2 linked regions of the Drosophila melanogaster genome follow. The protein of the gene in region 2 purifies or fractionates together with the protein of the main gene of each other region. This does not show direct contact. Each region holds a gene or a part of one and is shown on either strand. Other genes may lie near its edges.

Evidence for each region.
Region 1: the proteins of Gp93 (region 2) and Cyp12d1-p purify together in Drosophila melanogaster (affinity purification with mass spectrometry, with the first as the bait; one large-scale study listed by BioGRID). This does not show direct contact.

The regions. Positions count from the first base shown.
Region 1 is NT_033778.4:11,116,712-11,123,587, forward strand, and holds Cyp12d1-p (cytochrome P450 12d1 proximal), read right to left. Parts: upstream 5,174-6,876; 5' UTR 5,138-5,173; coding exon 5,036-5,137; intron 4,976-5,035; coding exon 4,650-4,975; intron 4,596-4,649; coding exon 4,479-4,595; intron 4,415-4,478; coding exon 3,394-4,414; 3' UTR 514-3,393; downstream 1-513.
Region 2 is NT_033777.3:27,946,910-27,952,693, reverse strand, and holds Gp93 (glycoprotein 93), read right to left. Parts: upstream 3,984-5,784; 5' UTR 3,833-3,983; coding exon 3,793-3,832; intron 3,711-3,792; coding exon 3,621-3,710; intron 3,524-3,620; coding exon 3,441-3,523; intron 3,353-3,440; coding exon 2,100-3,352; intron 1,767-2,099; coding exon 869-1,766; 3' UTR 543-868; downstream 1-542. Other genes in the region: CG4951 (uncharacterized protein), read left to right, coding at 12-219, 280-453; mfrn (mitoferrin), read left to right, coding at 5,384-5,500.

The DNA of each region.
Region 1 (6,876 bases), on a different chromosome or scaffold from region 2:
TTCCCGGTGACGTCACAAGGCTTTCCCAACGCTTTTTCCATAGAATCAGTTGTTGTTTGGGCTGCACAAGCCGGCAATGTAAACAAAACATAAAATATATGAATGGGTGAGTGAGTTGTGCGGGTGTCTGGGTTATTCGACTGCTTCGGCTGAGTGGGTGGCTGTTTTGGGTGGAAATTGGGTGACCCCGATGCACTGGTGTTGGTGCAAATTCGGCAATGCGTGTGCGCTGCGCCTGATGAATGAAAAGTTCGAGTGGCCGCGTGGAAAGCGGGAAAACATCTGAGCGTCAGCTGCACGGTCATATGTTTGATATTATTCCTGTGAAAGCGGAAAATGATTTTGAATATTAAAGGAAATCGATGCGGAAAATGTTTTGGAGTATTTAATAGCCATTAAATGGATAACGTAGATTTTGTCACAGGTTTATAAAATGTAGTTATAGGTAATATATTCACTAAAACAGAAACTGCCTTACACACTTTTAGTATATTGTTTTATTTACTTAAATTACCTAAGTAAATAAAAGTATTTTCAAATTGTTACAAAAAGCACACCCTTTTTTCTATTTTTGTTAATATTTGAATGCCCCACCAATCGATTGAATTTGAAGCCAATTCGTGATTCGGAAAGCGCAGAGTGTCCTGTATTAAATTCAGCCTTGCAGACAAATGCAAAAACCATCGACAGGCCGTGTCAGAAAACACACGAAAATCGAGTGAGCCCCAGAGCAATCGCATTTTAATTTGAATTCTTTCTGGTGAGGCCCTTACAAAAGCCCCCATGCGATGTGCACGACCAAAAAATGAACTTAAGTTTCGGCCAAGAATCTTGTTGAAGAATTTCTATTTGAGCATTTGTCATGTCTTCGCCTTAGTCTATAAAATATACTGTCGGTGGATGGGGACGCGGGGTGTGTGCAAATATGCGAAAGCTAAATGTCAGAGTCAACCCTTTCGCAGGCCATTCTGCCTGCTTTTTTTTCAGCCTTTTCTGGCCGGTGTTGCCGCCTTGGCCCCTTTTTTGGGTGGAAAGGAAAGTTTTTATCTTAAGCTGCGCGCTGACAGGCAGCAAAGCGGCAAGCGAGGCAACACAAGTACAAGCCGGACAAAGAAGCCAGGGGGAGTGGGGATGGGCTGGCCGAACGGAAAATGGGAAATGGAAAATGGACGGGCAACGACAAGGCGGGCAAACGTCAAGTTATAGAAAATGCTAGTGCCTGCACAATAAGAAAAGTGTCATCCGAATTGCTAATCAATGGAATGATGTTGAGGAGACTCAAAAGAAATTTAAAGACCTACTAATAAGAAAAAACTGAAAAATCATTAAGTTTTTAAACTATTCAAACATATTTAAATAATAATTTGTGCAAATTTATTATTGCTTAAAACAACTAAATAAAAATATATAATGTCATTCAAAGTTTCAAAAAAAATTTATTCAATTAAACAAAGGCCATTTTGTATCTTTTCAAAAGTATATGACTTAAAAATAGGTTCATTCATTTTGCTTATGCAAGCTAAGGACTCAGCTTTTTGTCAAAGTGCAGAAAAGGGGAATGAAACTGGTCTTAGAGGGAGAAAAAATTAAAGGACATGCTGAACGCATTCCTTGGGACACGGGCTGACAGTGAGTGATTTGACCATACCCTCATTTGCGTGCAGCAAGGACCAAGATCCGAGCTCTGGGTTCCGGGTTCCGGGGTTCCGACTACCGAGATCCAGGCACACCAATGGATTAATGTGCAAGGATGCGACTCGTCAGGCAGGCCAAGAAAATTACGTCAAGCTACGCAATGGGCCCGTGCCTTTCCCACTGCCCCCCACCACCCCACAACCTAACCAAATCCAACCCAGCCCAGCACAACCCAAACCATTATCCTTTTGGAAATCTGATGATGAGCGCCGACTGCTGCGGGCGGGCGACTCAAAATGGGAGTGACTCATTTACGCGCTGCACTCGAGTTTCAACCGGCAGCCGGCGAAGGAAAAGCGGGACTCCGAGAACTTTTCCAAGCTATTTCTGCGCCCAAATGACAGCGAAATGTAATAATGAAAAACTTTTTCTTTGTCAACTTGATGAGTATGAAATTTTTCACAAAAAAAAAAAAAGAAAAAAGATTAAATAAAATAAAAGACGAGCGGCAAAGGAACGGGTTGAGCTTGGGTGGCAGGGCGGTGAGCTAGAAATATGAAACGTCAGGACTGGTCCTTAGTCTTAGGTTGGCCTTAGTCTTGGTTGGCCTTCGAGATTAGTTATGGCAAAGGAATTTCCAAGCGAAGGCGCACGCAAATGATTGCATGCCGCATTACGCATACGCCCGGTTGTGCGTGGCCGGTTTTAAAATTGAATTTTAATATACAGCAGACACAAAGAGATGTACATGACCATATGTATATGTATATAGCTGATCCCTGGCCATGGCTGCTATAAGCCAGGTTATCCAGCCACCCCGAAAAAACACATGTTCTGCATTTTTACTTTGTACTGGACCAGGACCCACGGTCCATCATCCCTACCATTTTGCTGCTGCACCGCATCGGGGATTGCGGAATTCATAAGCTATGTGCGTTTGCTACAAAAGTGGAATTTTCGCCACGCCAAAGGATACCCGCTTGCAGGCTCCCAGCTCACAGTTCCCACTTCCCGTTTCCTAGATCCTGAGCATGCCATTAACCCACTCGCAAAAAGCGCAAAATCGCTTAAATTATTGTTACAAGCTGCCAGTGCCAAGTGGCAGGCACAGCAACAGCAAAAACAAGAACAAGACCAGGGGGGCAGGTGGCAGGTGGCAGGTGGCACAGGGCAAACCACCTGAGCTTTTGGCCGCGCTTTGCTTTGAGTGCCAGTTAGCATAACTCCGCAGGCCGCAGGCGAATATGTCTGTTGTTGCTGCTTTTGCCGCTTTGCTACTCTCCTGATGTTGGGTGCTGCTCCTGATTTTGCTGTTGCCGTTAGAAGTATTTGTGGCGCGGCAAAGGACATCCTCTCGGCAGCCCGTTCTCACCTGCCTGCCAAGCTGCAAGCTCCAGCTGAAAGTGTCTTTGGTGAGCGCTACCCACCACCTAAATATACAAAGTGTGGGGGAAAAACAAGAAAAATAACAACCTACAATAGTCTCTTCTTTGTTACCTAAAAATATAAGAAAAGCACACCTCGCAATTGTGTTGAAAAAAACAAATTGATACGAAAAAAAGCGATAGGGATGCCACAACAAAGCGCAATCTTATCAAACGTATTAAACATTTTGCTTATCAAAACAGCGAGGTTTGCACAACAATGCGAAATAGGAGGAGGCAAAATTCTTATCTGCATTTCATCAGTCAAACATTTACTGTAATCAAAAATCGCAACTATAAGGAACACAAGTAAAGGCCACAAATGAGAAGCAAATTATTGTTCGATATCCGTGAATTTGAAGGGGAACGTAATGGCCGGTTCCATGACGAACATGGTCTTGAATGGACGGCTGGCATCCCGATTGAACTCCACATGGAAATTGCGAATCAACTTGGCCACTGTGGTCTCCATTTCCAGATCCACCACCCGTTTGCCAATGCACATGCGGGGTCCAAAGCCAAAGGGAAGGAACGTGAAGGGGCTGACCTGCATCTTCTTTCCGGTCTCCGGATCCCTTAACCAGCGCTCCGGCAGAAATTCATCTGGTCGTGGATAATATGTAGCTTCCTTCATCAGCACATTTGAGCCGAGCAGGACAGTCGTTCCCTTGGGCACCCGGTAACCCGAAAGTATCACATCATTTTGGCAGGTTCTCATGGTTCCCAAGCCATTGGGATAGTATCGCAGTGTCTCCTTGATCACAGCCCTCAAATATGGCATATCCTTCATGTTCTCCTCGTTGAGTAGGGAATCCTTTGTGGGCATGATGCTCAAGAGCTCCTCCCGCAGTTTGGCCTGCTTATCCGGATGCTTTGAGAGGCAGAGTAAAACAGCCGACAGAAGCGTGGCTGTGGCATCCACACCAGCGAATAGGATGTCCAGACTCATAATCACCGCCACCTTGGGATCGATCTCCATTAATCTCTCCAGCATACTGTTACTATTTATTTTTTCGCCAGCCTGGCGGCGCTTTTCCAGTGCATCCTGATTTTCCTTCAGCATTTTCTGGGCCACATTCAAACTGTCATTGAGAGTTCGCTTCATTTTCCTGTAGGTGGGCGTCGATATGATCTTCCACATGGAGGGCTGAATGTCTAGCTTAAATGTGAGACGGAAAATATCCCTCGAGGTCTGGAAGAGGGTCAATGCATCGGAATTATCGCGGTTTTTTCTAATCAGACCCATTTGCCGATCGAAAGCCACCAGGCCGAGTGACTCGAAAACAAGCCGGCTTATTTCATCCGTAAAATCTTCGGGGACTTCTAGAGTTTTTGGATCGCGGATTTCCTTAATGCTGCACAGTAAAATGGAATTTATTGCTATATATAAATAACAATTCAATAACAAAAATTTCTTACCGCTCTATAAACTCATTATTGATATTAGACAATGGTTCATAATACATTCTCAAGCCCCTGGGTTGCATAAAGATGGGATTAATGGCTGATCGTAGTTTTCCCCATGCCTCATTTTGTCTGAAATATTCAAATTCAATTGTTTCCTTGCTACTTATTAGATTTTATACTCACGAAGCCACCAATCCTTGAACCTCACCGTAAACATCTGGTCGAACGTGTTCGCGGAAATATACAATGGAATCCAGGCCATCACGACGTGGCCAGATACCCTCGTTGCGGAATACCATCTCAATGTCCTTTGTGTTGAAAGTGGTGACCCAATCCTTGCGGCCAAACATTCCGGGCATTACATAGATATCTCCATAGCGCTTTCGCATGGCACTGGTGTATTCCGTAATCGATGCATTTTGGAATTCACCACCGGGCATGAAAGCCCTCATAAATTTGAATTTGTTGGGCCGCGGAATCTCATCGTAGGTCTTGTGCTCCTCCGTTATCTATAATTGGAAACTAATAACATGATAAATCTATTTCGACTGGATTTTGTGCATACTAACACTAGATTTAGCTTGTTCATGTGCCAAAACGGAGGCTGATCTTGAAGATCGAACGGGACCCACGTAAATCGCCACAGATCGCGCACTGCTCAATGTATTCATTCTATTCCTTTTGGTGATCAACTGCAACTAAAAACAGTTCCACTTTCGAGAACGTTCTTATACCAAAGGCTTATCTCTAAAACGTAGAAAAGAGAGGAGAGCGAATAACTTGAAATGCTTCAAAATGCAAAAATCTCAAACAAAAACAAAAGCCAGCAAACAAAGCATGAGTTTCATTTTCTTATCAGCTGAACGGTATAATCGCCGTGAATTGCCTACCTCACTCAACTGAAAAAATAAACAAATGAACGTGACTGGCTAGAAAAACAAATTGAGAGCGTTGGAACTTACAATAAATACACCTCAGAGAATTTGATACTACTATTACGACTATTACATACCCGTTACTCATTTAGTGGGATCGCTAGAAAAAAATCTAAAATATTTAAATATTTTTTAAAAATTTATAAGGATTCTAGTTCAACGGTAGACAATTTCAAGATAAATAACCAAATTAAAGAAAAATAAAAACAATTCTTAGAGTTGATCCTTGTTCTCTTTGCATACTGATATTTTATTTATTTTTTATTTTATTTATTTACTGGCGCCGCTTTTCCACAGAGTCCTCGGTGTCCTTTATCATTTTCTGTGAGAACATTAAGATGTCATCGAGAAGACGCATCATCATCCGAAAGTTTGGAGTGGAGATAAATCTCCACATTGATGGCTGTATATTCAATTGAAAGGCATATCTGAACATCGTGCTTCGTGTTTTGGAACACAGTCAATGCATCTGGATCGTCTCGATTTCGACTGATCAAACCCATTGGGCGATCGAAAGCCACCAAGCCAAGGGATTCGAAAACCAGGCGGCATCTCCAGAGTTCTAGCATCTCGAATTTCTTTAATGTTGGAGAAAAAGTAAAACTCAGGTGGACATCGAAATATACAAGTATGAATTAATTCTTAGCGCTCAATGAACTAGTTGTTGAACTCATAATAAGTTTTCAATCCTTTGGGTTGCATAAAAATTGAATTGACGGCTGATCGCATCTTGCCCCACAACGCTGCTTGCCTTAAATTATAGTTTCCAAATTAACTTCCGCTTTTGATATACATATGTAATTATTTGGTAACTTACGCGAATATCAGACCCACACTTTCTCCATAAATGGAAATATGTGATCGAGGGAAAGAAATCCTTTTCCGGCCAAGTTCCCTCACTGCGGAAAACAGTCTCGATATTCTTTGTACTAAATGTGGTGACTCAATCCTTGCGACCAAACATTCCAGGCATTATGAAGATATCACCATAACAACTTCTCATCGCTGCTGCATAATCCAAAATTGAGGCATCGTGAAATTCTCCACCCGGCATAAATGCCCTTGCAAATTCCTGTTTTCTGGGAAGTGGAATGTTCTTATAGGATCTCGCTTCAGTGACTACACTATCGGCTACCTTAATATCCAGATCACATATGTATGTTAGTGGAATACCCGATTGTGGTGATAGTATTTCAACTCACATTGGCCAAAATCTGTGCCTGACTAGAAGATGCCCTCACAAGCTGAATGGATTGCGCATTCTGCGCAATACTCATAGTTAATTTTATTAACTGCTTGCCTAAAATGACAACTGAGCTGGGAAGCCTGCCAAAATGCTTATATAGCATCGCATCCCAAGAGGAATAACAAAACGATTCTCTACAAATTGAAAAGCTGCAATCCAGCATGACTCCTAAGAATTCCCACCATCACAGTGATAGAAAGCGAAATTATTGCCGTAAGTCAAGAAAGCT
Region 2 (5,784 bases):
GATTGGCTCAGACTCTTGGAAAAAATGGGCGAGGACGAGGTGCTGAATACGTTCGAAAACTATCGCAGCGACTTCGATAAGCTGTTCAAGGAGCGCGAGTTCAAGCCGCGCACCAGTCACTACATGAACATTGCCCACATGGACGTCATCGACATACTGAGCAAGAGCATTCACCAGCAGATGCTCAAGAAACTGGGCGAGGTCTACAGCAGTCGAAGCGTAAGTTTGGGGCGTCCTGGAGTGACACACATATCCATCCTAACATGTCCCGATTACCAGAACCACACGTCGCTGCTGGTGAACGGACTGCTCCCGCTGTGGATAGTGCGCCTCTTTATGGACACATACACGCTGTCCCAATCGGAGGCCGTGCAGCAGATCCGCGACCAGATGAAGTACAACACCTACTTGAGGGCCCTGAACGATGAGCCGCTGAGTTCCGATCTTGACTGATCGAGCAATCAATTCACTTTTTAACTATTTTTTGGTATCCGATTGCGGAAATTTTACATTGCGCGCCATATTAAATAGGCAGTTGTTTTAGTTTTAAATTCATTTGTCTTTATTTGTTTTGATTGGAATCTGTTGTGTACTAAGCATATTACATTGTATAAATACATAATTCACTTGCTTTCGAAAAAAGAAAACGCTTGAGCAACCAAGTGTGCTGGCTGAAATGGTGGAGTGCTCTCTGGGCGACTGGCGGTGATGACGGCGTGGGCGAAGGACTACGAAATTATTTTACTTAGAATCTAGCGTGTAATGTTGATGGAGTGCCCGCCCGGCCACCCGGTGGCGGTTTAAAACTCAGTCTGAACTTCACACTCTTATGTACAATCTATTTGGACAGTGGGTGAGGTGAAGTAGTTTACAGCTCGTCGTGCTGCTGCTCCTCCTCCTCATCATCGGCGTTGCCGCTCTCCTGGCTGCCGGTGGCGGTCTCCTCGGCATCATCCTCCTCCTCCTCGTCGAACTCCACCTGCTCGTCTTGGGAGACACCCAAGGTCTGGCGCATCATCTGCTCAATACTGTCGGCGAACTGCGAAGTCTCCTGGAGCATGTATCCAGACCGCAGGGTGGCGGTGCGGAACATCATCACAGCCATGTCCTTGGCGGTGTCATCGGCCTCGTCGGCCTCCACGCGGCGCAGCAGCTCGCGCATCAGCGGATGCCTGGGATTGATCTCGAGCGTTTTCTTCTGGTTGAGGTAGTAGGTGCGCTGAGGATCGTCGGACTTCTGGTGGGCGTTGGACATGGCCAGACGCTCCATGTTGCCGGTCCAGCCGAAGACGCCGGCCACGAGGGCGCATGGCGAGTTGCTCAGACGCTCGGAAACCTGGGCCTTGGAGATCTGATCCTTGAGTGCCACATCGTTCAGCCACTTGACCAGCGGCTCGAAGGTGCTCTTTAGCGACTCGAAGTTCTTCTTGCTCTTCTCGGACTCGTTCAGCTGGAATCCCTCCTTGGCCACGTTCTGGAACTTCTTGCCATCGAACTCGGGCAGCGCGGAGATGCAGTACTCGTCGACGGCCTCCACCAGATACAGCACCTCGTATCCCTTGCTCAGCAGACGCTCGACGAACGGCGACTTCTCGACCTCAGCGCGGTTGGCACCAGCGATGTAGTAGATGTGCTCCTGCTTGGCCTTCATGCGCTCCTTGTACTCCGCCAGCGAGGTGACGCCCTTGCCGTTGGAGGTCTGGAAGCGGAGCAGCTTGGCGAGACGCGATCGGTTGCTGGGATCCTCCATCACGCCCAATTTGATGCTGAAATGAGTCAATTAAGTCTTGATAAGCAACGAAAATCCAAGAATTCGAGGTTATAGCTAATGGAAATGCTTATTTAACTAAAATAAAATATTTAAGTATAAACTCTACACGTCACCAGTGCCAATATTATAATACTACGTGGATTTCCTTATCTTATCAGCGCGGAATTCTTTAAAGCAACAAACTAAATATATTAATTTGTTGGCAAAAAATAATACACGTCATTCTATTCTCCATATTATAATGGATTCTGCGGAAATGCTTATCATAAATAACTAATTATTTGAACAGGCAAAGAACGTTTCTTAATTCCTAGAAAGCGACACTTACTTGGTGGAGAACTCCTTCCAGAACTTCTCATACGCCTCCTTGTCGATCTTCTTCAGCATATCGAGAACCTTGCGGACCAGCTTCTTCTTGATCACCTTGATGAGCTTGTGCTGCTGCAGAGTTTCGCGGGAAACGTTCAGGGGCAGATCGTCGGAGTCGACGACGCCACGAATGAAGCTCAGGTAGTTGGGCATCATGTCGTTGAACTCGTCGGTGATGAAAACACGGCGCACGTACAGCTTAATGTTGTCGGACTTGGTGCCGTAGCGGTTGAAGGACTCCGATGGCTGCACCTTGGGCACGTAGAGCAAACTCTTGAAGGTCACCTCGCCCTCGGCGATGAAGTGCGTCTGGGTCAGGGGCTCGCTGGAGTCCTTGGTCAGGCTCTTGTAGAAGCTAGTGTACTCATCCTCGGTCACTTCGGCGGGCTTGCGCGTCCAGATGGGCTTGCTGTCGTTGATCAGGGTCCAGTCCCAGGTGGTCTTCGAAACCTTTTTGGTCTTGGGCTTCTCATCTTCGGCCTCCTCGACCTTGGCGTCCTCATCCTCCACGTCATCCTCGCTCTTCTCGGGCTTGGCCTCCTCCTCCACGGGCACCTCCTCCTCGACGGTCTTGCTGGACCACATGCGGATGGGGAAGTTGATGAACTGCGAGTACTTGCGGATGAGCTCGCGCACGGTGTCCTCCTCCAGGAAGTCCTGGGCTTCTTCCTTCAGATACAGCGAGATCACGGATCCTCGCTTCAGAGTATCGCCACGGGGATCCTCGGTGATGCTGAAGCTGTTGGCATCCGACTCCCAGATGTACTGTTTGTCGTCGTTGTGCTTGGTGGTCACCACTACACGATCGGCGACCAAGAAAGCGGAGTAAAAGCCCACACCGAACTGTCCAATCATGTCGTTCATATCGAGTCCCTCCGACTTGCTGGGATCCTGCATCTTGGCCAGAAAATCGGCAGTGCCGGACTTGGCAATTGTACCCAGGTTATTGATCAGATCCTGGTGAGTCATGCCGATACCCGAGTCCATGATGTGCAACGCCTTGTTCTCCTTGTCGGCCTTAATGCGGATGTGCAGCTCCGGATTCGTTTCCAGCTCCTTGCTGTTGGACAGAGCCAATAGGCGGATCTTGTCGATGGCATCGGAGGCGTTGGATATCAATTCACGCAGGAAGATCTCCTTGTTGCGGTAAAGCGAGTTGATAATCAGCTTCATCATGCGGTTGACCTCCGTTTGGAAAGTAAACTTCTTCGCCTGCACGCACAGACAAAAGACAAAGAAAAAAGGGAAAGGAAATCCCGGTCATACGTGTACCTTCCAAATGACCTGGCAATGAACCCACCTTCTCGCGAATTTCCTTCAGCTGCGCCACGTTCAGGCCGTCCAGCTGGATGGCCTCCTCCTCGCGCTTCAGGGTCTCGGCATCTGGGGGATTGGGAATTAGAAAAAGGGGGCGGTTATCGCAACGCTGACGTGTACCAAACAAAACTCGTCGTCGCGAGAGGGGGGCGTGTCTACGTACCGGTGCGGGAGCCCTCCTTGAAGGAGCCCAGATCAAGGTCGATGGTCTCCGTTGTGGCGGCCTCGTCATCGGCGGCTATTTGATTGATGCCTAATCAGACGCGAATCAGACGCCAATTAATAATTAGGTTAAAACACCGGTTCAATGCGGCGTGGCAAATGTGCACACTTACCTGCTAGGAGCAGCAGGCCCACCAGCAAAAAGTACTTCATGATCTTTGGTAGCTTGATTTACGGAGCTCGAGCTATCGGTTCGTCCGGCGAAAGGCCACGTCACGAATAACAGATGCAATAAATTAGTCCGCACTTGCGTCGCCTGCTTTGATTTTTTTTTACTGACGCCGACAAGCGGCTGGAAGGCCTTTAAATGCCTCGCAGAGTGACCGTATTCCGGCGCTGGAACATTCTAAGCGCATTGGAAGGAAATACCAGGGGCTGCACTGGAAATAGGATATATATACAGCACAGAGCACGAAAATAGTGTAATTTAAATAAATTTAATGTTTGCTTATTTGAAAGCCCATACATTCATAGAATCTATTTGGGATTTAGTTTACAAGAGGATGTAGTGTCAAAACTCTACTGTTAAATATATTTAATTTGATAATTTACATTCTTATATCAATAGTTTACAAAAGGGAACACTTAGGCCGGTAGATATATGATTTATATTTGAAACAAATTAGTATCTTTTCATGTATACAACAACTAAGCTTTAAAATAATAAATTCTTCGGTCGGTTGCACAACAACTTCGTGTATATACAATTTTTAAGCTGCCAAAATAGATAACTGAGAACTTATTGATATAGCAAAGTAATGATAAAAATATGAATTGAAATAAAATATAAATTCCTGACAGAGATCAAGGAAATCCATTTCGTTTTAGAATATATAACATATGATTTTGTACCGTTCGGTTTATTTTACAATGTTAAGTTAAATATTTTAATGTTGGTATTTTTATTTGCCATGGCGTTAAGGTTCCGCACCCACATGTGGGTGGACTTGTGCTGGTATTTTCACCCGAGCCATTTTGGTATTTTGCGACGTTCCCGCTGCGGTCACTCTGGGCACGAGGCTTGTTTATTGGGCGAAATTTAATGATTCGCTGTAATCATACAACATTTGCGTCAGTTGCCAAACACCGACCCAGCCAAAATTCCGCTTCGGCCACAAACCGACTCTTATATATTCATAAAACAACCGATCCGCAGCCGCCACTCCAGCAGCAGCAGCTTAGCCGCGAGCAACTAAACCAGAAATTGCTTCCTCGCGTGAATCGTTGAATCGGGGAATCGTCTCTATGTCGTCTGTATGCTAGTCGTGCAACAGCAGTGTCAATTAGCAGTTTCGCATAAGACCACCTCACGCGTACACTCTGCACCACCACCGCCACCGCCGCCGCCTCCGCCAGCAGCACCACCCCCCGAAATACACCCGCCCGTGCGTCCGTGAATCGTCGTGTTATCCGTGTTATACAACAAAATTGCACCAAAAGTGCCCGACATACGCCGGCCAAGAGTTGCCCGCTAACCAACGCCGATCCTCGACAGGCGGAGCGACCCGATCCCAGCGGAGAAAGCGGCTCTGCAGCAGCAACTGCAACAGCGACTTGGCAGAACTGGTCCGGATTAGCAGGTTGTCGTAAGAGGAGCAGCGACTGCAAGGGCGCAACCACAGCATTAGCACACAACACAGTCGATAGTGCAGCCCCACCAGCAGCCTCAACAATCGAAAGCGACGGCAACCGTTCGGATCCACCATGAACATCGACGACTACGAATCGCTGCCCACCACCAGTGTGGGTGTCAATATGACGGCGGGCGCAATTGCGGGCGTGCTGGAGCATGTGGTCATGTATCCGCTGGACTCCGTCAAGGTGAGAGAGACTGCATGGCCGCCTGGTAATCGGAGGAGCAGCGGCATGAACATAACACGACCTAACCTCACTATCAATCGGAATTTTGTGTGTGCCGCCGCTGCTTTGGCATAATCGTGATGTAATTGCCCACGTCTCGAGTGCAACCAAGAGTTGCGTTTCTCATTAAGAGCTCTGGGTGGTATAGCCACATATAGCCGCTCTGAACGCTTATCGTAGCACGTTCCATTGGTTTATGCTTCCGCGATAAGATTAGCCATAGTAATTGGACTAGCTCTTATCGG